Linked DNA regions of Drosophila melanogaster. The gene in region 1 interacts genetically with each later gene. Each region holds a gene or a part of one and is shown in the gene's direction. Other genes may lie near its edges.

What was found.
Region 2: of nec (region 1) and psh, changing one suppresses a phenotype caused by changing the other (phenotypic suppression), as found in Drosophila melanogaster (one study listed by BioGRID).
Region 3: of nec (region 1) and spz, changing one suppresses a phenotype caused by changing the other (phenotypic suppression), as found in Drosophila melanogaster (one study listed by BioGRID).

What each region holds. Positions count from the first base shown.
Region 1 is NT_033778.4:7,155,423-7,161,067, reverse strand, and holds nec (necrotic), read left to right. Parts: upstream 1-2,826; 5' UTR 2,827-2,920; coding exon 2,921-2,936; intron 2,937-3,002; coding exon 3,003-4,277; intron 4,278-4,343; coding exon 4,344-4,483; 3' UTR 4,484-4,591; downstream 4,592-5,645.
Region 2 is NC_004354.4:18,483,345-18,489,370, reverse strand, and holds psh (persephone), read left to right. Parts: upstream 1-2,449; 5' UTR 2,450-2,738; intron 2,739-3,223; 5' UTR 3,224-3,232; coding exon 3,233-3,308; intron 3,309-3,374; coding exon 3,375-3,558; intron 3,559-3,616; coding exon 3,617-3,726; intron 3,727-3,791; coding exon 3,792-4,075; intron 4,076-4,133; coding exon 4,134-4,317; intron 4,318-4,375; coding exon 4,376-4,722; 3' UTR 4,723-4,884; downstream 4,885-6,026. Other genes in the region: CG15046 (uncharacterized protein), read left to right, coding at 217-1,097, 1,154-1,325, 1,383-1,723.
Region 3 is NT_033777.3:27,063,731-27,072,418, reverse strand, and holds spz (spatzle), read left to right. Parts: upstream 1-2,348; 5' UTR 2,349-3,209; coding exon 3,210-3,275; intron 3,276-4,923; coding exon of another isoform or gene 4,924-5,061; intron 5,062-5,219; coding exon 5,220-5,297; intron 5,298-5,534; coding exon 5,535-5,811; intron 5,812-5,938; coding exon 5,939-6,320; intron 6,321-6,387; coding exon 6,388-6,565; 3' UTR 6,566-6,616; exon of another isoform or gene 6,617-6,730; coding exon of another isoform or gene 6,731-6,859; exon of another isoform or gene 6,860-6,983; intron 6,984-7,096; 3' UTR 7,097-7,331; downstream 7,332-8,688. Other genes in the region: CG43935 (uncharacterized protein), read right to left, coding at 6,731-6,859. UniProt on the Drosophila melanogaster protein: The activated form, spaetzle C-106, acts as a ligand for the Toll receptor. Binding to Toll activates the Toll signaling pathway and induces expression of the antifungal peptide drosomycin.

The sequences.
Region 1 (5,645 bases):
AAAAAGGAGTTCGAACAATGGCCAAAACCAACTGCCGACTGCTGACCTCAACTTTCTGCCATAGTGTGAGTGTGGGCGTGGGTTGGTGTGTGTGTGTGTGTGAGTGTGTTTGTTAGCCCATTATGGCGCCTAACATACGAGTGGAGAGTGAAGGAGCAGGAGAACCGGCACTGGTCTCTCTGACATTCAGAATGATTGCATCACGAAGTACAAATTTAAACTGCGATTACCCCGCCCCTAAAGAACTTCAGCCGCGGATGTCCATTCTTCAGAGGTAGAGAGAAAAGTACAGTACTGAGATATTGCTTAATGGAACTTCAGATCCTTTGGATGTAATACGATTTGAGGGCCGAGTAACTTCGAAACAAGTTAGCTCAGAAAACAAGCTACACCTTGATACATTTATGGGTGGAAGAAATATACAAGCAACTTTTGCTAAGGCATCAGATATACATCATCTTTAGTAGATTTACTATTTGCAATAAATTAGTAAATTTGAAATACCTATGCGGAACTGCTAGAGTTTCTCCGAGTGCATCGAGTGCTATAAACAAGGAAGGGGGAGTTTGTGGGCTGGCAATTTCTATAAACGCTGCTAAATGCATGAGCTGTGCTGCAAAAGGAAGGGAATGGCGATGCCAGAAGAAAGAATGCCGACTATGATTAGGCCACATGGAAATTACAAGTTTCCTTTATGTCGCTTTAATTGATGCTGCCCCGGATGCCGATTCTTGGCCTTTTGCTCAGCTCGTTAGCAACATGCTGTCAGATTCAGAGCAACTCGGATGCAAATTGCATGTGTAAATATTGTGATGGCCACGCGGCAGCCTTATGATTTATTCGCCATAATTATATGCAAATCGGACAAATCGTGCGGCCAACGCGCAATTTAATGCAATTTCGGTGTAAGCCGCCCACGGACAGCAATCGCTCCTCGTTTGCCACCTCCGCTGCACTGCATCCCCTGGCATCACACCCCCCCCCCCCTCTGATGACCACCTGACTCTCCGGCGGCTCCCCAATTAATGACTCGCAAACAACGTCGGTGGTGAGCTGCTCCTGCGGTCGTGGTGCACCAGCACAAGTACCAGTGCCAGCAACATGCTGCCACTAATTGAGGCATCGCCCCGGTGACAACTTGCAATATTTCCATGCGGTTGCTGTCACCACCTGCGGTTCACGGTCCGTGGTGCGGGGGTGTCTGGGTAATTGGCCAGGTAATTTAAGCAAATTGGGTGGAATAGTTTTGGAAGCACGAGCGATAGCTTGATAAAATAATTCGTTTTCATTTTAAAACATCTTGAAATTATGTGTATAATTCGAATATCTGTTGGTAAGTCTAATGAAATGTATCTGAATGAAAAGGAGTAACGCAAAAACAAAGACTGATTCAAAAGATTACTTAATTAAAACTTTATACTACGAATGTGCGCAGATAATCACATATGTGATCAGAAAATTATTATACTCCTGAAATACATAACGTTAAAGCACTTTCATGGTAATTCCTAGTCTGTGGAATCTTATCCAATAAATTTCAAAATGATTGGTGAAATGATTAGTTCTAAACTAGTGAACACCCCATACAAATTCAAGTATTACTTACTATAATTTATTCAGGCAGCGTCACTGATTTTTTTGTCGATTCCAATTGTTTAAGTTATGATAAAGCTTTCCAGTTGACAACCGTAGGTGTTTCTGGGGAAATTCCCCTAATTGCAGCTGGATGCTCCGATCGAAACCTACTGCCATTTAAACGGCTAGATCGATTCGGAGTGGAGGGTGGTGACACCTCCGTAACCCTGCGATAAGTCGGAGGCCAGCCTTTGTTTGATCGGGCAAAACACTAGACGTCATATCAGCCGGAACAAACACACGCGGCAGAACTGAATGGAAGCGGAATGAGCCGAGCTGAGCCCACCTGGTGCAGCGCAATTAACTAGACTGCTTCCCAAACACTCCTCCTCTACTTATCGATTGCATTCTGGCCCGGCACTCAAACTCGCATTCATATCAGCGATGCACTCCGTCGTGCCCCACTTTCCAGTGGGCTGCCGGGCGGCGGTGGAGTAGGGGCGTGGCACCACACTCTAATTGGAGTAAATTATGTTTACACATTCGGCCGCCTGCAATTGGGTCACCGTAAACCAGGCAAGATTGGGGAAGAATCGTGTGGGGATTGGGGAAAAGTGCTGATATGAAATGCATTTCGTGTGCGGCTTTACATAATTAGACATTAGATAGGCAGGGAATCCGAGGCTGTGGGGTCTTATCCGGGAGATTGGGGGCTCTCTCCAGCCACCGGGGAATACTTAATTAGTTCTCGTCATGTTTATGGGTCGGTTATGTAAAATGGAAAGGTTATTTAATGGACGACAGCGTGGAAATGTCAGCAGGAAATGCAGGAGTTATGAGTAGATTCAGCGCCCGAGATAGTGGATCTATAAATAGACGGAAAACTAAACAGGTTTCTTTCACCGAATCCCCAGCGGTGAGTCACATCCTTAACTCTCCAGTGGCGGCTAGAACGGCAACCCACGCGAATCGCGGACTAAGATGCCAGGGATAGGTGCAGGGAAAAGCTTCGCCATATACAACGTGCATATTACATATTGTGTGTTTTCCTCTGTGTAATTGAAATCGTAGCCGGGCTTTTCCCATTCGAGATGAGAGAGTCAGGAGAGTCACTTCCACAGAACTCTCCATTCGATTTGATAATCGAACGCTTCTCCTTAGCATAGCAGCTATGGTTGTGGACCGGTTCTCTCTTCCAATCGCCGTATAGCTCGTATCTGCTCTGCTGCTAGAGATCGGTTTTGCAACGATCAGTTTTGTAGCGCAGCTGAAAACGAGCTGATCGGCTAATCGGAAGAATACATTCATTTAGAAGGTTTCCAGCTAGAAATAACAGATAAGAAACATGGCGAGCAAAGTCTGTGAGTTGTGGAAAATCCATCCAAGAGTCGCCCGCGAAAAGCTATAATGTTTTCCTATTCCTACAGCGATCCTTCTCCTGCTAACCGTCCATCTTCTGGCTGCTCAGACCTTCGCCCAGGAGCTCATCGCTTGGCAACGGCAACAACAACAGCAGCAACAGCAGCAACTGCAGCTACAGCAGCAACTGCTGCTGCAGCAGCAACAACACCAACGTAACCCAAGACCGGAGCTGGGCCTCCGTTCCCTGCCCGGAAACCCGTGGACCCAGAACAATCAGGAAGCCATAAGCGATGTGGTGGCGGTGGACCTAACCAAACGTGAGCCGGTCACTCCGCCACCCAATCGCCCGCCGCCCGTCTTCAGCTACATGGACCGCTTCAGCTCCGAGCTCTTCAAGGAGATCATTAAGTCGCAAAGTCAGCAGAACGTGGTGTTCTCGCCCTTCTCCGTCCACGCGCTGCTGGCCCTGATCTACGGGGCCTCGGACGGAAAAACGTTCCGGGAACTGCAGAAGGCCGGAGAGTTCAGCAAGAACGCCATGGCCGTGGCCCAGGACTTCGAGAGCGTGATCAAGTACAAGAAGCATTTGGAGGGCGCAGATCTGACCCTGGCAACCAAGGTCTACTACAACCGCGAGCTGGGTGGCGTCAACCACAGCTACGATGAGTACGCAAAGTTCTATTTCAGCGCCGGCACGGAGGCTGTCGACATGCAGAACGCCAAAGACACGGCAGCCAAGATCAACGCCTGGGTGATGGACACGACGCGGAACAAGATCCGGGACCTGGTCACACCGACCGACGTTGACCCACAGACGCAGGCGCTCCTTGTGAATGCAGTCTACTTCCAGGGTCGTTGGGAGCACGAATTCGCCACCATGGACACATCACCCTACGACTTTCAGCACACCAACGGCAGAATTTCCAAGGTGGCCATGATGTTCAACGACGATGTGTACGGCCTGGCCGAGCTGCCTGAGCTGGGCGCCACCGCCTTGGAACTGGCCTACAAGGACAGCGCCACCAGCATGCTAATCCTGCTGCCCAATGAGACCACCGGACTGGGCAAAATGCTGCAGCAGCTGTCCCGGCCGGAGTTCGATCTCAACCGCGTTGCCCACCGCCTGCGCCGCCAGTCGGTCGCTGTGCGCCTGCCCAAGTTCCAATTCGAGTTCGAGCAGGACATGACCGAGCCGCTAAAGAACCTGGGAGTCCACCAGATGTTCACGCCCAACTCGCAGGTGACCAAGTTGATGGATCAGCCGGTGCGCGTGAGCAAGATCCTGCAGAAGGCCTACATCAATGTGGGCGAGGCGGGCACAGAGGCCTCGGCAGCTTCCTGTAAGTTCTGAAGACCATCAACACCCCCGAATCCTGTGACTAATTATCTCCCAATCTCTTTCCCAGATGCCAAGTTCGTACCCCTTTCGCTGCCTCCCAAGCCCACGGAGTTCGTCGCCAACCGGCCATTCGTCTTCGCCGTCCGCACACCCGCCTCAGTTCTGTTCATAGGTCACGTGGAGTATCCCACGCCCATGAGCGTCTAAAATGAACCAAATTCGGACAAATTGATTTATTAGAATTCCATTTCTGAGTAGAGCCTTGCCCGTTGCATTTGTGAATAATAATAATAAAGTATGACGCTGTATTTATGGAAACTGAACTTTGATAACCCCGTTTCGCTGATAAGAGCAATGGGATTCCGTGTCGATCACACGGCGATCCGGAGCAGCAGTAGTAGCAGGTATTGCCATTGTGCCTTTTCCCAGTTGTTTGCCGGGGCTCTTGGCTATTCTGGATTTCCAGCGAATGGTTTTTGCCCGCTTCTGTAAGTTGGCAAACCCGTTTTGGAGCCGCGGCACTCCTCCTGCCCTCTTGTCCTCGCATCCACGGCCGTAAATCAAAGGCGGATTTCTCAATCATTTTTCAAAATGAGCGAAGCTTCCTCATGCGCACTAGATCTCACTTGAGATCACCGAGGATGGAGTGCAGGGTAACCCATTTTGGGGGAGCAATGGGGCTGAGAATTGTAAGACTGCGGTATGAGTAATTGAAATACCCGCTGAAAGCTGGGCATAATTAATGGCGCTTACTCAAGGTTGCCTACACTCAACAAAACTACGTTGTAAATTTGGGGTTCTTTCTGATATTGGAAGGTGTTAAAGAGTAGGTAGTAGGTACCTACTAATGAATAATTAAATATCGCGAAAAACGCTTCATCCCTCAGATAGCCCATTTCAAATCTCTGCTGCTAAAACTTATTAAATTGCTAAATAAAAAACAATTAGAGATGATCTAATTAAAATGTCACCATTATTCTTATAGTAATAATTCTAATGATTATATACATCAGTTACCCCTCCGAAATGAAAGTTTAGAATTTCAGATTTCTGATTTGCTATTCTACATTCATTTGATTACGAAGGCAATCAAAATGTCTGCACCTTTTGTGTTGCAGTGTCGAATTAAGAGTGAGTGAGTTAGCTTCCGAACTTGAAATTTTCTCAAGCGCGAAACGAAAACTGGATAGAATCGCTTGCTACCTCTCCCAGTGAATCTCTCTGAGAACTTCGAGCTCTCCGCCTCTCGAATCGTTCCGTATCACCCAAGACCTTCAATGCCGAGCTCTGACTTTGGCTTTGGACCTCTCCAATCAATGACCTCAATGTCTCAATATAATTTGAATTTCCTTGAATGAGCGCGTAGCCT
Region 2 (6,026 bases), on another chromosome or scaffold:
CCACTTAACTTTTTTACCAGACCAAATATTAACATCTCCTGGCGCGCTCCATGAGTTGAAGTCAATTTACATGTTTATTTAACAATGTACACTTTATAATTTGTACACGTAGTCTTTCATAATTGGATGCTCAGTATTCGCAACTCATTATTATTTGATCGTTATTTGGTGATTATTATTGATTATTGATTACGAATGATTGTTCCCTGGTTGCAGTGGGTGATCCCTGTCCCACGGTCAATTACCGCAGTCGCTGCCAAGCGCTGGAGGATTGTGAGACTCTGGCGTCGCATCTTAAAACGGGACGACTCACATTGAGGGCGGTGATGAACTGTGGCTTCACCACGCGCAGCGAGAAGATCTGCTGTCCCGTCGAGGATGCCCAGAGCGAGGTGCGGTTAGATCCCACGGCGGCCACCACCAGTACAACTACAACTACTACTACTACCAGCACAACATCTACTACTACTTCCACCACAACCACCACTACTACCACAACTCCAGCGCCAGAACCTTGGCTGAGCATATTCAAGACGGATCGCGATTACGTCCAGCAATCCATTGGGTCCACGCACCGGCCAACGAGGGAGAGCATCACCTTCAGAGACACCTCCGATGGCGCCGACTGCACGGCTCCCCTGTACGAGGGCCAGTGTCGTGCCGTATCCGCCTGCCCCAGTGTGGAGCCACTCCTGTCGCAGGGTCGTCTCAGGGACGAGGATTTCACAACGTGCCGCGAGGGAACGCACGAGGAGATCATCTGCTGTCCGCTCAATCTGCCGCTGCAGCCACGCGTCCACACCGGCTTGCGGCTGGGTGTCCAGGGTGATTCGTCGGAGGGCAAAGCTGCCGAGGATCCGCTAGAGCTGGCCGCCATTGCACGGGCGGATAGGCTACTGCCACACTACCGCCATCTGGCTTCGCTGGCACATCCGAATGCCGCCTTCGATGGCCACCTGCATCACTGTGCCGCCCTGGTACTGACGCCCCAGCTCCTGGTCAGCGCCGCTGGCTGCGAGCGACCAAGTCATGCTGTTTTCGGAGTGGCTGATCTGCGGGACGTTGACGCCGACGAGGACTATCTGGCGGATATAGTGGTGAGTCCATCAGTCCTTGCCCATGTACATCAAATCTAAAATGTCGAATATTTTAGCGCCTGGTTCAATTTCAAAAGGATCTATCACTTATACGATTGCAGGACCCACTGCGTCTGGGCAGTCAGACCTCCGCGAATGTGAGCGTGGCTCCCATTTGCACCCAGTTCGAGCTGACCAGGCTGCAGCGTAGCGGCAGCCTAGTGGCCGTGGGTTGGGGCAAGGGTGAAGGTGAGCTATAGCATACTCATCCAAGGAGTTCCAACTAAACGAATAAAGCTCTTTCAGACACTGACTGTCCGCTGTTCGAGATGCCCATGCGACTGCGTCCCACATGGGCCTGCGGGGATCTACCCAATTACGGCGGAGTTCAGGATCTGGGCAGCTCACATCTTTGCGTGGAGCCGATGGACGGCGAAAGGGAGCTGCAGCGGTTCTCCAACAGCAGCACCTGCGCCGCCTGTCCGGCTTCCGTGGGCAGTGTACTCCATCTGGTGCGACCGGGCGGAGGTCGCTGCGTCATTGGGGTTGCCACGCCCACGGGGGCTGAGTGCGAGGCACGGACCATGTACTTCACGGGTCTGCTGAGTCCGCCGTTCAGGCGGTTTGTGGAGCAGGAGCAGAAGTAGTCATCCAGGTTAAGTTAGAACAATCTATGCAAATAATGTATAAATTGGATGAGAAGAACGCAGAAGTGAAATTGATTTCGCAAGCATCAGCTTGTGAAATAATTGGAGCAGCATGGTCACACTGAACACGATCTGACTGTACTTTTATGCCTAAGAATATACCAGTTAACATCTACCCAAAACCTCATTGTAGTAAGTAAATTAATATAAGAAACATTATAAATAAATTTTATATATTTATTACAATTCTCTCTGTTCATTCAAAAGTTAATAGAGTAAACAGCGCCTTCAAGTTACGTTTAGTTATTGCATAAATTTGCAAATATTTGCACACATGATGACTTTATTCGCTATTTGTTCGCATAAATCAAGCACTTGGAATTGTTGAAGGTCTCGTTTCGAAACAGTTACATCTTAAGTACTGCTCTTAGTTCTTTGATATACAAATTCAAAGGGAGGAGACTGTGTCATTACAGTTTGGACTATGCAGCATAAGAAACTCATTGCTAATTCCGCTGAAAAACGATCTCCTCTTATATTTATTTATGTTTAATTATTCATAAAAGCATTGCTCGGGTTTTCCGATTATTTCGGATCGGTTGTGGCTCTGGATTCAAGAATCTTTCAGAGATGAAAACCGGTTGGAGAGCAATCTATTGCCGCCTAGTGTGTAGATTGGACTAGTCACAGATTGGGATTCAGTTGCACTGGAGATGCTTTACTGAGCGGTCAGAACCGTCGTCCCAGCCTGACCGTTTCAATCCGCCGCGTCTGTGACCATATCGGTCAGATTCTCTCCGCCATAGCCACCGGTTTTAAAGCTCCATTGAGTTTACGTCGTGTGCAGTTTTGTTTTTGCTGGTTTCCTCGTGTTTTGCTTGATTTATTGTATTGTATTCCTTGTGTTTTTGTGCTGTGCTTCCGATTGCCATACTCGGAGTGATCGGTGCACTCGAAGAACATCGAAACAGCGACGTATTCCCTTATCAAAGTCTGGCAAAAGGTTGTGTCGAAGGTGGGTTCCGTGGAAGGTTCGTGCCATGAGCATAAGTCGTACAATCATACATGTGATTAGCTTATAATTACTGCAAGCTAGTTCAGCACTCACAATCAATAAGCGTAAGCGGCTCTATCCAAACTAAACAGCATTCTGTCCTTATCAGAAACAAATCCCCAACTCAGATAGTTTAGGAGGTTTTCGATATCAGCTATAAATACCCCTCGTACTGAGTGACAGAACGAAGATTACAGTCGCCAAAAAAAAAAGGTGAATCAACCGATCCAACCTTTCCATGTTATGTTTTCCGTTGGATGGTGAAATACTGCCTTGAAGAAAAAAATAATCTTGAGTTTTCCTCACCCACTTGGCCCTCCAATGCCAGGAGTGACTGTAGTTCATGTCTAGCATCTGTACTCAATAAGTTGGTCAATGGCTGCTGGTTTATTGTAATCAGAAAATCATGGCGAAGCTCATTCATTTACATTCTCCATTAATTGCAGCGAATTAAGATGCCATTGAAGTGGTCCCTGCTACTCGGCACTTTTGTGCTCATCAGCTGCTCCTCCGTGGAAGCAGCCGTCACAGGTGAGTTCCGATCTCAGCCAGGTCACATCAAGTATTTGCCCGACTCGAATCTTGCGTTTGTTTCAGTGGGTCGGGCCTGCAAGGTGACGGATACCATGCCCGGTATCTGCAGAACATCCTCCGATTGTGAGCCCCTAATCGATGGCTACATCAAGTCGGGAGTCCTGACGCTCAACGATGTGCCCAGCTGTGGCCTCGGCGCTTGGGGTGAGATCTTCTGCTGTCCCACCAAGCCGTGCTGTGACAATAGGTAATCCGCGAATTGCTTCCATTGGGATCACATAGAAATGGGTTGTTTGCCTTTGCAGTACCATAACAAGCGTTTCCACAAGCTCCACCACAAGCACAAAAGCTCCAATGACCAGTGGTCGTGTCGATGTGCCCACGTTCGGAAGCGGTGATCGCCCAGCAGTGGCAGGTGCTTACTCTTTTGATCAGATCACTCCTAGAGTTCCTCTACTTATTTCCAATCCCACGATATAGCCTGCAAGAAGATTCGCGAGCGAAAACAGCAGAGGAGCGGCAATCAATTGGTCATACACATCGTGGGCGGTTATCCGGTTGATCCGGGTGTATATCCCCATATGGCGGCCATTGGTTACATCACTTTTGGCACCGATTTCCGATGCGGCGGATCGCTAATCGCCAGTCGCTTCGTCCTGACCGCCGCACATTGTGTCAACACCGATGCCAATACGCCGGCCTTTGTTCGCTTGGGAGCTGTGAACATTGAAAATCCAGACCATTCCTACCAGGATATCGTCATAGTGAGTCACTGTGCTTATGCATTAAGTTATAGCCATTCTGATCGATACCATATCTCAGCGAAGCGTTAAGATCCATCCGCAGTATGTGGGCAATAAGTACAACGATATCGCCATTTTGGAACTGGAACGTGATGTCGTCGAGACGGATAACATCCGGCCCGCTTGTCTCCATACGGATGCCACCGATCCGCCATCGAACTCCAAGTTCTTTGTCGCCGGTTGGGGCGTCCTAAATGTAACCAGTGGGTAGCACAAAAAGTTCCATATCCTCCACTTCCACTAATGGCTAACCATCCGCAGCTCGGGCGCGATCTAAGATCCTGTTGCGCGCTGGTCTGGAGCTGGTGCCTCTGGACCAATGCAATATATCCTATGCGGAGCAGCCCGGTTCCATAAGGTTGCTCAAGCAGGGCGTGATCGATTCGTTGCTGTGCGCCATTGATCAAAAGCTCATCGCCGACGCATGCAAGGGCGACTCCGGTGGGCCGCTCATTCATGAGCTCAACGTGGAGGACGGCATGTACACCATCATGGGCGTCATCTCGTCGGGATTCGGATGCGCCACCGTCACACCGGGACTCTATACGCGTGTCTCGTCCTATCTGGACTTTATCGAGGGCATTGTCTGGCCGGACAATCGGGTGTAAAGTTGGGAAAAGTAAAGTTTTTGTTTTTTTTGTATGTATATTATTTCTATTTGGGATCAGGACTGCCTGATCCATCGCAATTGGCAAACACTCATCTGTGATCTCTATGAGCACCGCGATCGAACCATTTAATACCAATAAAGTAGATACGTTTTAAGATATAATCAATCGGTACAATATTATTTCTGGCAGTTCGGTTTCCAGAACTCTGTGAAGTGATTTTTCTGGTTCTGTTTAATTTTAGAGGGATTTCTGGGTCACCACTTTTATTGAATTGCTGCACTGTATAAAAAAAATGGGGAAATACAAACAGAATGCATTTATTTCAGAAAGATTTGTCATAAGAAATTTAAATTTTAAGCATATGTTTCAGACTATAAGTTGAAAAGGACTTCTTGGGTCACCACCTAGGTCGCAACCTAGGCAAGAAAGTAAGTATCTGGGTCACCACTTTAATTAGAGAAGAATTATACAAAAAAAAAAAAAACAAGATTACTGCAATTGAAACTATATATATGGTAAGTTCTAAAACACGATTCTGTGACACAATTATACTCGACTTTTAAAGGTGTAAATATCGGGGTCACCAAGCGCAGCATAGACCTTACGCGGTATCCTTTAGTCCATACCGCTCGCCTGTTGCTTACCCACTCGCTAATTACAGGCTGCCTTTGTGCTTTGTGTGCTCTGGCTTCTGATCGCTTCGGATCGTTCTGCGATTCTGCGAAGTGGTGGAATGGGAAACCGGTTCGCCGCTCAGCGGGAGAGGATCGGCTCTGGGTGCTATCAGCTGCTGGGTCCGGCGCTTCTTGGTCGACGTCTAAATGGGCCTCATCGGTTCCAGCTCCAGCTCCAGCTGGGGCTCAGAAGCTTGGCTTCAGTTGCTTGGGCGATGCGTTGCTGAGCGGTCAGAGCCGGGAAAATAGCCAGCAGATTCCATACCGCCGCGATTTGTGATAGCCACCGGTTTTTAGCTTTATTGACTCTGCTGGTGTGCTTTTTGCGGTGTTTTTTTCTTTATTTTTTATTTTTTTTTTTCGTAATTCCCTTGGATTTTGTTTTGTTTATGTGGTATTGAATTAAATTGTATTGTATTGTGCGGTGCCCGATTGCCATAGTCACCACAGTGCTCGACGCACTCAATAAACGACATCGATACGTAGACGTACTACTCCCTTATCAGAGACCGAAAAAAGGTCGTGTCAAAGGTGCGTTCGATAAGGCGGACGTCGGTGTACAGTGAACAGTGGACAATGGACATTGGGATTGCGGGATGTGGGGATGTGGGGCTATGTATTGCATGT
Region 3 (8,688 bases), on another chromosome or scaffold:
TTACTTAAGCTCTGTGATTTTCATTTGGCACTTCAAATTAACAGTTTAGGCTTACCTAATGTTCGCAAAGTTTGTGCTAATATGATACATAAAATGATTAAAATTAAAAGAGGAAGTATATTTGCTCATTAAAGCTAATCTACGCACATATTAACAGGTATTCAAAGCTTTACAAAGTTAATCATACTACAACTATTGCAAGACATTGTGAAAAGTCTTGACCTTTTCCAATGTATCAATTCTCAGACAAACGTATGATTCAATGTTTACTAATAAGTTGTAACTTTAGCCGTTTCGCTGAAAGTAATTAATGAAGTTAGTTAAGGCGGTGCTAACTTAAAATTTTACTGCTAAATGGATTTCAAATTAACATTTAGGATAGTGGAAGCTGAAATTATATACATTAACTTAGCTCATAAAAATACAATTTGGAAACCTCCTAAATATATGCACCACAAGCTTAATAGATCCCTAAAGTATGCAAGTAGATTTAAACAAGTTTGATGCAATCGTAATATATTGAAATGGTTTGTTCAGTTGAGGATTTAATTGATTTCTGAGAATTTTAGATTGTTTAGAACAGATATGTATGGGCATTACAATAATACAAAATTGCATCATCATGCAATTTAGTTATCTACTTACACAGCCCCCCTTCATTGCATTTTATTACGTACTAATTGATAAAGAAATTCTTATGAATCAACAGTGCAGCTGATGTTTCTACGAAATGGCCTCAACTCAGTCATTGGTGCATAATTCGGGGGAAAGGCTATGCTATGAGTAGATATGGCCAAGTAAAATGCATTCTGCTAAGAAGTTCCCGTTTTTCCATGGCGAACGACATCCACTTTGGGCCATAAACATAAGCACACAAGGTAGATCCATTCAGGCACGACTGCGTCAGATGCCGTTTACATGGCGATTACTTGCAGTGTGCGACTTAAAGATGCGGTTTTTTGTCCGCCGTTCTCGGAAATACCAATTGAGTCACCATCTTTCCCAAGCGCCTCAGCACGCTCCAAGGCGGCGACTGGCGGGCTAATTTAAGCGATTCGGATCTGCGGCTCCCATGACGCGTGCGCCAACGGAACTGGCGTTTGCGGCACCCGTTCGGAATATCAAATGTGTTAGAAATATTAGATGGGCTCCAACGTGGGGATAGTTTCATTGGTGGTGGTGCCGAGAGCAGAGCAGTTGTGCTCCGCGAGCTTTGATGCCGAGCTTTGGCCCGGCACCACTTTTACTTTCAGCAGCAACAAGTGCTGGCCGGCACCTTCTCACAGGTCAACTTGACCGACTGTGAGAAGCCCTACACTTGGCTAACATGGGTTTAGCCCGATAGAGAAGGTGGTAATCAACCACCCACTTGCCACAAAGTTTGGTTATTTTCAGCTCGGGGAAATTTCTATATTTTCGGGCTACCTATAAACTTGTTTTCTTTCTGGATTTAAATAAAAGTGATAATTCAATCGCTGCTTCTTTAAGTATACCTAATAAAAAAGCAATAAATCTCTAATCGCGTATGTTCAATAACAAGCGGACAGATAATAGTTAATTACTAAAATGGGTCGACGAAAAGGGCAAATTTGTACATAAGTGTTTATTAAGTACAGTATTCATTATTTCAAACGGAAACTTAATCATCCAAAATGCAGCTTTGATTGACTTCCGCAGATAACAAAGCTCTGACTTCGAGGCATCCAAACATTACTCTGTGGCTGCTCTAACTTTTTCGTAATATTTGTTTTAAAAAATTTTGCGATAACGAAGTTAATTTTTGGTGTCAAATGCCACTCAAACGATATGTACATTTTATGCAAAGCTTTATGGCAACTATGCTGATTAGAATGAATAAAATGTTTGTATGGAATTAGTTTTTGAAAGTATGTTTTTAACTTATGTGTTAAAATAGTACAATTGAGGGTTTGATATTCTTCTTAAAGCTCCAGTGATTTGTATTTGGTTTAACAACAGATGTAATTAAAAACGTTAGTCATTATAGTGTTAGTTTGATGTGCACTTACTTTTCTCCAAGTGTAATATGATTCAGATAATTCCGACTGGTAAAGTTTTTCGTGAAGCAGGCGCAATTAGTAGCACTGCTCGGAGTCAGCTGTGATAAAATCGCGGTCCGCTCGCCCAGACGTCCCGCTCCCTCGCACGACCCTCGCGCTCACTACCCATCCCGCTTCCACCGCCTCTGACCGGCGGCGTCTCGCTCGCGCACAGCGCCCGCTCCCGCTCACACTCTCGCAAGCTAGCTTAAAGCTGCACTTAAGCACTGAGCAATTGTTTGGGGGAGCAGACGAGTCGAGTCGGCGGCCTCTGGGCTCCACTTTTCATTTTCAGTTGCCTCCCAGACGTGCGCTCTCGCTGTCGTGTGTTCTCGATCGCGAGAAATCCAAATCGAAATCGCAGTCGAAATCGAACTTGGTTAATGCTTAACACTCTGCATGCCCGGGAGATATGGTGAAACTCTCGATCTGACCGGAAAATCCCAGCGCGCGTCGCTATAAACACTTAAGATCGGTGGCAGATGGTATCGGGCTTGAGGTCCATAAAAGCGCATTCATCTCGAGCTTTTCGTGTCACTCAAAGACGGCGCACAGAGCCGAAAAGTTGAAGACTCACATATCCTGCGATCAGCTACTTGGATAGCCCATTGCCCAGTTGCAAGCCAAATCGGTTATAAACGATATCAATATCGCGGCATTTCATCAGAGCAACCAAATCGAACCGATCCGAAAACGGTTCCACTAAAGCGGCGAGAGCGAAACTAAAGTGAAAAGCAAACCGACTAATTGAAGTGTCTGTCTGTGTGTCTCGCAAACGTGCAAAGGAAACAAACAAAACGGAATAGCCAACATATCACACAGAGCCACCGCACAAAATATTTATAAATAAATAAGAGGCAACAGTAACACCAGCTACCAGTATAAAGGCCCGGCATTAACATTTAGTCGTGCCAGTTTGTTTATTTTTTATATACGCAAAGCCCATAAAAAGAAAAAAACGCACAGATCACTAAAAAACAACAGCAGCCGGCGCTATAATAACAAAGTTGTAGAAATAAGAAAATTGGTATAAGACGCCACCGATCCGCCAATCACCTGCTATATACTATTACTAATCCCCGACGCAGACGTTCGCCGTCCGCAGAATCTATATATATTTATAAATCCAATTGATTAAGCCCGAGATCGAGCATGATGACGCCCATGTGGATATCGCTGTTCAAAGTCCTGCTGCTGCTGTTCGCCTTCTTTGCCACGGTGAGAAATTTACAATTTTACAAATTTCAAAACAGTCGAACCTCCATAAGGGAAACTTTCAAAAGAAGTTAAAGTTTTAAAATTTAAAGATCTTTGCGTCGAAACAATAATTTATTCCAAATCTATCTAATCTGATAAAAGGTTAAAGTCTCCTTGTCTTCTTAAGACAAGCACTTAAGATCTTAAGACTCCAGAACTTGATTTTTTGTTTATTTGAAACAGGTGCTCGCTTGTTCCAGTTATGAAAGTTCGACTGCATTTCTGTTTTTTTCTGTTCCGTGTTAATCTATGCTTAACATAACTGTCATTTCATTGCAATATATTTCGGGCTATGGGCTTTTTAGCTATTAAGATTTATTTTAGATTTTCCATAGTTGTTCTAGCAGTTCCATTAGCCGAAGGGCAGTTTCAAGTTTAAATTTAGTCACAGACTAGAAAACCTGTTCGCATTGCCAGCGGCAGGTTATGTGCAATTTTCATTCTCTATATGATAAATGCACATCATAGGCATTACAATAATATTAATTGACACAAACAATGCCAGACATTCTGCACACGACTTTGGAAGTAATTTACTGCCGGACAAATTGTATGATCATCTCTGTGAGAAAAGCAATTAGTTCGTATTAATGGCGTCGAATGTTAGAAAATCCGTTTGAAAAGCGCCCGAGAACTTTTGTCTTTCCGGTTTTCCGCGAATTCCGCAGCGGACCGGTTCTAAAGATCGTTTTCAGTTCTAGCTAAATTCCAATAGGTTCACGGAAAACCTAAAACTGTGATGGAAAAACGATCCAATGTTTGCCTTAGTTGCGTCTACGCCAAACACTGATGAACGCGTTTAAAAAAAGGTTGATTGCTAATTGATTGGGAAAAAACATTTCCGAGAAATCGCAAAAGTTCTCAGACAATCAAGTTCAGATGGGTTGGCACCTTAAAGCGGGTTTTCTACATGCTCGTCGAGACCCAATTTTAATTTGGGTAAATTCTGTTGACGATTCCATGGACTCTATTCAAGAATTTAAGCATAATAAAAAGTCTTGACGAGATTAGGGGCTATTATCAAGGCTTATTTATATCACTGCATATACATATATATATAACATAGAAATATTTTAAAGAGTAGCACTAAAAGTGCTGATAATTCTAAAATCGCCAAGCTATTTGCATAATTATGGTCCTCGGATTATCAATACATTAAAAGCAACTATTGGCTTGTTCTTTTATATAAATAACCTTCCGGTTGGATTATGTTGATTTTTATTCAGGATCGGCTTGCCTTTAGATTTTCCAATTATTCAGTCTTTATTGCTTGCGGAAGAGGGACATCCGTTTTCAAGTTGCTAAGCTAGAGGCAACTCTCGAGGGGATTATCAACTCTGATTTTGGACTCTGGCTGTTGTTATATGTATATAGGTTCGGGTCCTAACTCAACGGAACTATAGAATTGCGAGAGAAAACTGCGCTTGCCCGAAAAACAGCTGTTCAAACCTTTTGAATACGCAAATGTAGTGCCCGACAATAGAGAGAGAGAGAGAGAGAAGTCTGGGTTGACAAACAAACGAGCCCGAGCACCGACCCACGAATATATACTCCGTTGTCTTGGCAATGTTGATGAACTGCAAACAAAACTCTCACCTGTATCTTTCAGATAGTTTATATCAATATCGAATTAACGAAGCGACACGAGGCCGAGGTGAGGGCAGAGAAAACAGTGGCAGACTATAAGGCCCTTTTGGCTACCATTAACAATGGCGGACCCGGAAAGTCAGCATCTAATCACTTACAGGTGTGAGCACAGTGTCCCCGAGTGTCCCGAAACAGACCCAGTTGTATCGTTATGCTTAACACCTTAATAGCCTTAATTTGTCTGTGGTGTGGTCAAAACTTCTGAACCGAGACTAAAGTCTATTGTCTTGTCTTTTTATTTCGCCATTTTTGCTACAGTACGAGGCCAAGGAGTATGAACGTATCATCAAAGAGCTTTTTACAATAACCAATGATGAGGGAGTTGTCCTCTTTAATGTAAGTGTATACATAGGCAAATGCATGATTTCTCTGTAAAATGTGTCTTTGATGTGAAACGCAATTCATAGCTTCAAGGACGAATTGGTGCGCTGCTTTCTTATAACTACTCTTCATCCTATATTGCATCCCCATTTCACTGCTCATTTGGTTTCTTATTGGGTTGTGTGTTGTCTTTGTGCTTCCTTTTTTTGCCAATTGGCTAAAGACTAACACGAGTAAATTTTACCCGTACAGACGTCCGCGGACAGTGCACCCTTCATGCCCATACCCACCCAGCACGACGATCCGACCCAGAAACAGAAACAGAATCAGAATCAATCTCCGATACCCGAAACGAACCGCCATTACCATCAGTATCACAGCCTGATCCAACCAGATCAGTACTTCAAAGTGCAGCGCTCCCCGAATGGAAAGCTGAATCTGGTCTTTAACGATACGTTCGTATCTTTGCAGAGGACGGACACGGAGGTGCAATCCGAACAGCCGATACCCCCCCGACATCCATCGGATAGTAAGTACTAAGTATTTTAGCCTATATATGCTCAGTTACATTCGATACCCAAACATGCCTTACAACTAACTACTAAATCGATCCCATACTCACTGGCCAACTGCCTTTGGCGCTTGCCTAATTTTAGCCTTTGTCTTCCCCGATTCCCCCATAGCCAAGTATCGGCCACCACAATCCCCAGCTCGTCCTTTGAGGAATGACACTAAAGAGCACAATCCCTGCGCCAAGGATGAAAGCCAACACCTTAGAAACTTCTGCACGAATGTGGACGACTATCCGGACCTTTCAGGCCTCACACATAAGCTAAAAAACAACTTTGCCAAGTTCTTTAGCAACGATCTTCAGCCCACGGATGTGAGCTCTCGCGTTGGTGGCTCAGACGAGCGATTCCTTTGCAGGAGCATCAGGAAGCTGGTGTACCCAAAAAAGGGCTTGAGGGCGGACGACACCTGGCAGTTAATTGTCAATAACGATGAGTACAAACAGGCCATCCAGATCGAAGAGTGCGAGTAAGTTATAGCTTGAATCTATGATATATTCCATTAGCCTTGCTAATTGCCAAACCTTCCCTTCCAGAGGAGCGGATCAACCCTGTGACTTCGCCGCCAACTTTCCGCAGAGCTATAATCCAATCTGCAAGCAGCACTACACACAGCAGACCCTGGCCAGCATCAAAAGTGATGGCGAACTGGACGTGGTGCAGAATTCCTTCAAGATCCCTTCCTGCTGCAAGTGCGCGTTGAAGACTGGGTGATTCTGGAAAATGGGATTCTCCAGTCGATGGCTGCGACAATGTGATATTGAGGTGAGGCCACGATTTATTCGTACATTAAATTTTAAAAATAGGTACAGAACAGAAACGACTGACTACCAAGAAGTAGAGGATTTCAATGAATCCTTGCGACTTAAGGCGAACGCTTCACTTGACCAACTTGCGCAGGGTCCAGCCGACGGCGTAGAATCCCACCAGCTTTAGGGCCATTCCCTTGCTTTCAGCCTTCACCAAATGCTTAAACTTGTTCTCGAAATTGCCAACGACGCGATCCATCGGAATGAGATAGTATAATGTCTGCAATTCAGAAGTCTTGAAAATATGTTCGAATGCGGATTTTCGAACTGTGCTTTATCAAGTATTGTACTTAAATTCAAGAATAATGTTTCTTGTGATTCGAAGAGTCAAACTTTTCAGACTGAGACTACAACTCTAAATATGTATACAGCTTCATTGACATTATTTCCTTGTTAACTAGACCAAAAATATAAATTGTATCTCTTCTCTTTGCAGCAAGAAGTTTCACCCACCACAGAATGGCAGGCCAAACTGATCAGTGGTCATTGATTTATTCTATAATCTGCTGAATCCACACATAGACCAATGTGCATATTAATTTAGAGCTTTAAGTCGAGTCATTTTAACCATATTCGTGTCATATATTCATTTTTGACTTCCACGTCTAATGCCTAAGCTAGAAATGCAAGTAATTAGTCCTAGAATAAAAACAAAACAAAACACAAAACACAAAAAAAAAAACAAGAAAGATAGAAATAACGATTTGAAAAATGTATGTTAAAAAAAGATAATGTATAATAAATGTATGCAAGTACATGCCAGCAAAGTAAAGTTCTTTGAACCCATCAGCGAGTACCTGGTGGACAATTTATTTGCTTATTAACAATAATTCGGTTCGCCCCGCTGCGCAAACCAATTACACCCTAGTGAGTGTAAACACATTCCCCCAAAGGGGTGGTGGTTGGCTTTCACCGGCAAAAGGATAACATGCATCGACTTCGGCTTCCTGGCGCTGGATTTTTCCAACTGTCAGCGGGGCGTATGCGCGATGTGTCTTGAGGTGCTGGCGCTGGCACATGTGGAAATCAATAGTATTTATCGATTCCCAGACACAATAAACTATGTCAAAGTTAGGCCGAACAATGCGAATGCTTGTGGATTCGTTGTGGGCGGGCAAAGTGCCACAATTTAATTACTATTATTAGGTATCCTTCCCGTTTGGCCAAATCCAGTGTCGTGCCCTGGTCGATTGGGCATTGGCCAGGGTCATCAATCATGCACATCCCCAACAGCCACACACAGCCGCGTCCATATCAATTAGCAACTATCCATATATCTCCGCCCACCGATTTTATATATGTATATATATAATCGTAGAGTTTGGATTGCCCTTTGTAATGTACTTTTTCTCATTACGCCACTGGCTCCGTTGCGCGGATTGTGGTCACTTGGCGTCCCTTCGTGTTCTGTTCTGATTCACTGTGGAAATACACTGGAACTTGTATTCGAACGCCGCATACCTCAGATTAATACCTTAATCACTTAGCAATACTAGTCAGGTTGCACGACAAAGGTGCACGTTTAATACATAATCACAGTCAGCGTTTACACATCTGTATATTAAGTACGCCTGCGTTATCGGTGCTAATTACTTCTAAATCATTTGTTAAGTAATGCTCCATATATAATATTGCTGTATATTAGCTACAAACCATTTCGCGAAACGGAGCGACCCTAGCCCTAATGGATACAATGGAACTAAAAACAAGGATATGGACAACATGCAGGACAGTCAGACAGTGTCGGCGTTTTTGGGTGGGAATGGAGATGGGCTAGTGGGTCGCATTGGTGGCTCGTAATTGCCGCAGCACATTTGCATGGCCGAAGGAGTTAATGGGGGTTGCCTGATTTGTTTGTTGGTAGTACTATTGCCATTGCCAGCCAGCCAGCCAGCCGTGTTGTTGTTATTCGGTTGCTGGCTGACTGGCTGGTATAAATACGTTCTGTTGACGACGCCCGGGCTCCAATACGCCGGTAGTCGCTGCTTTAGACCAGTCAACCGCTGCACTGGCTCCACTTCGAGTCGA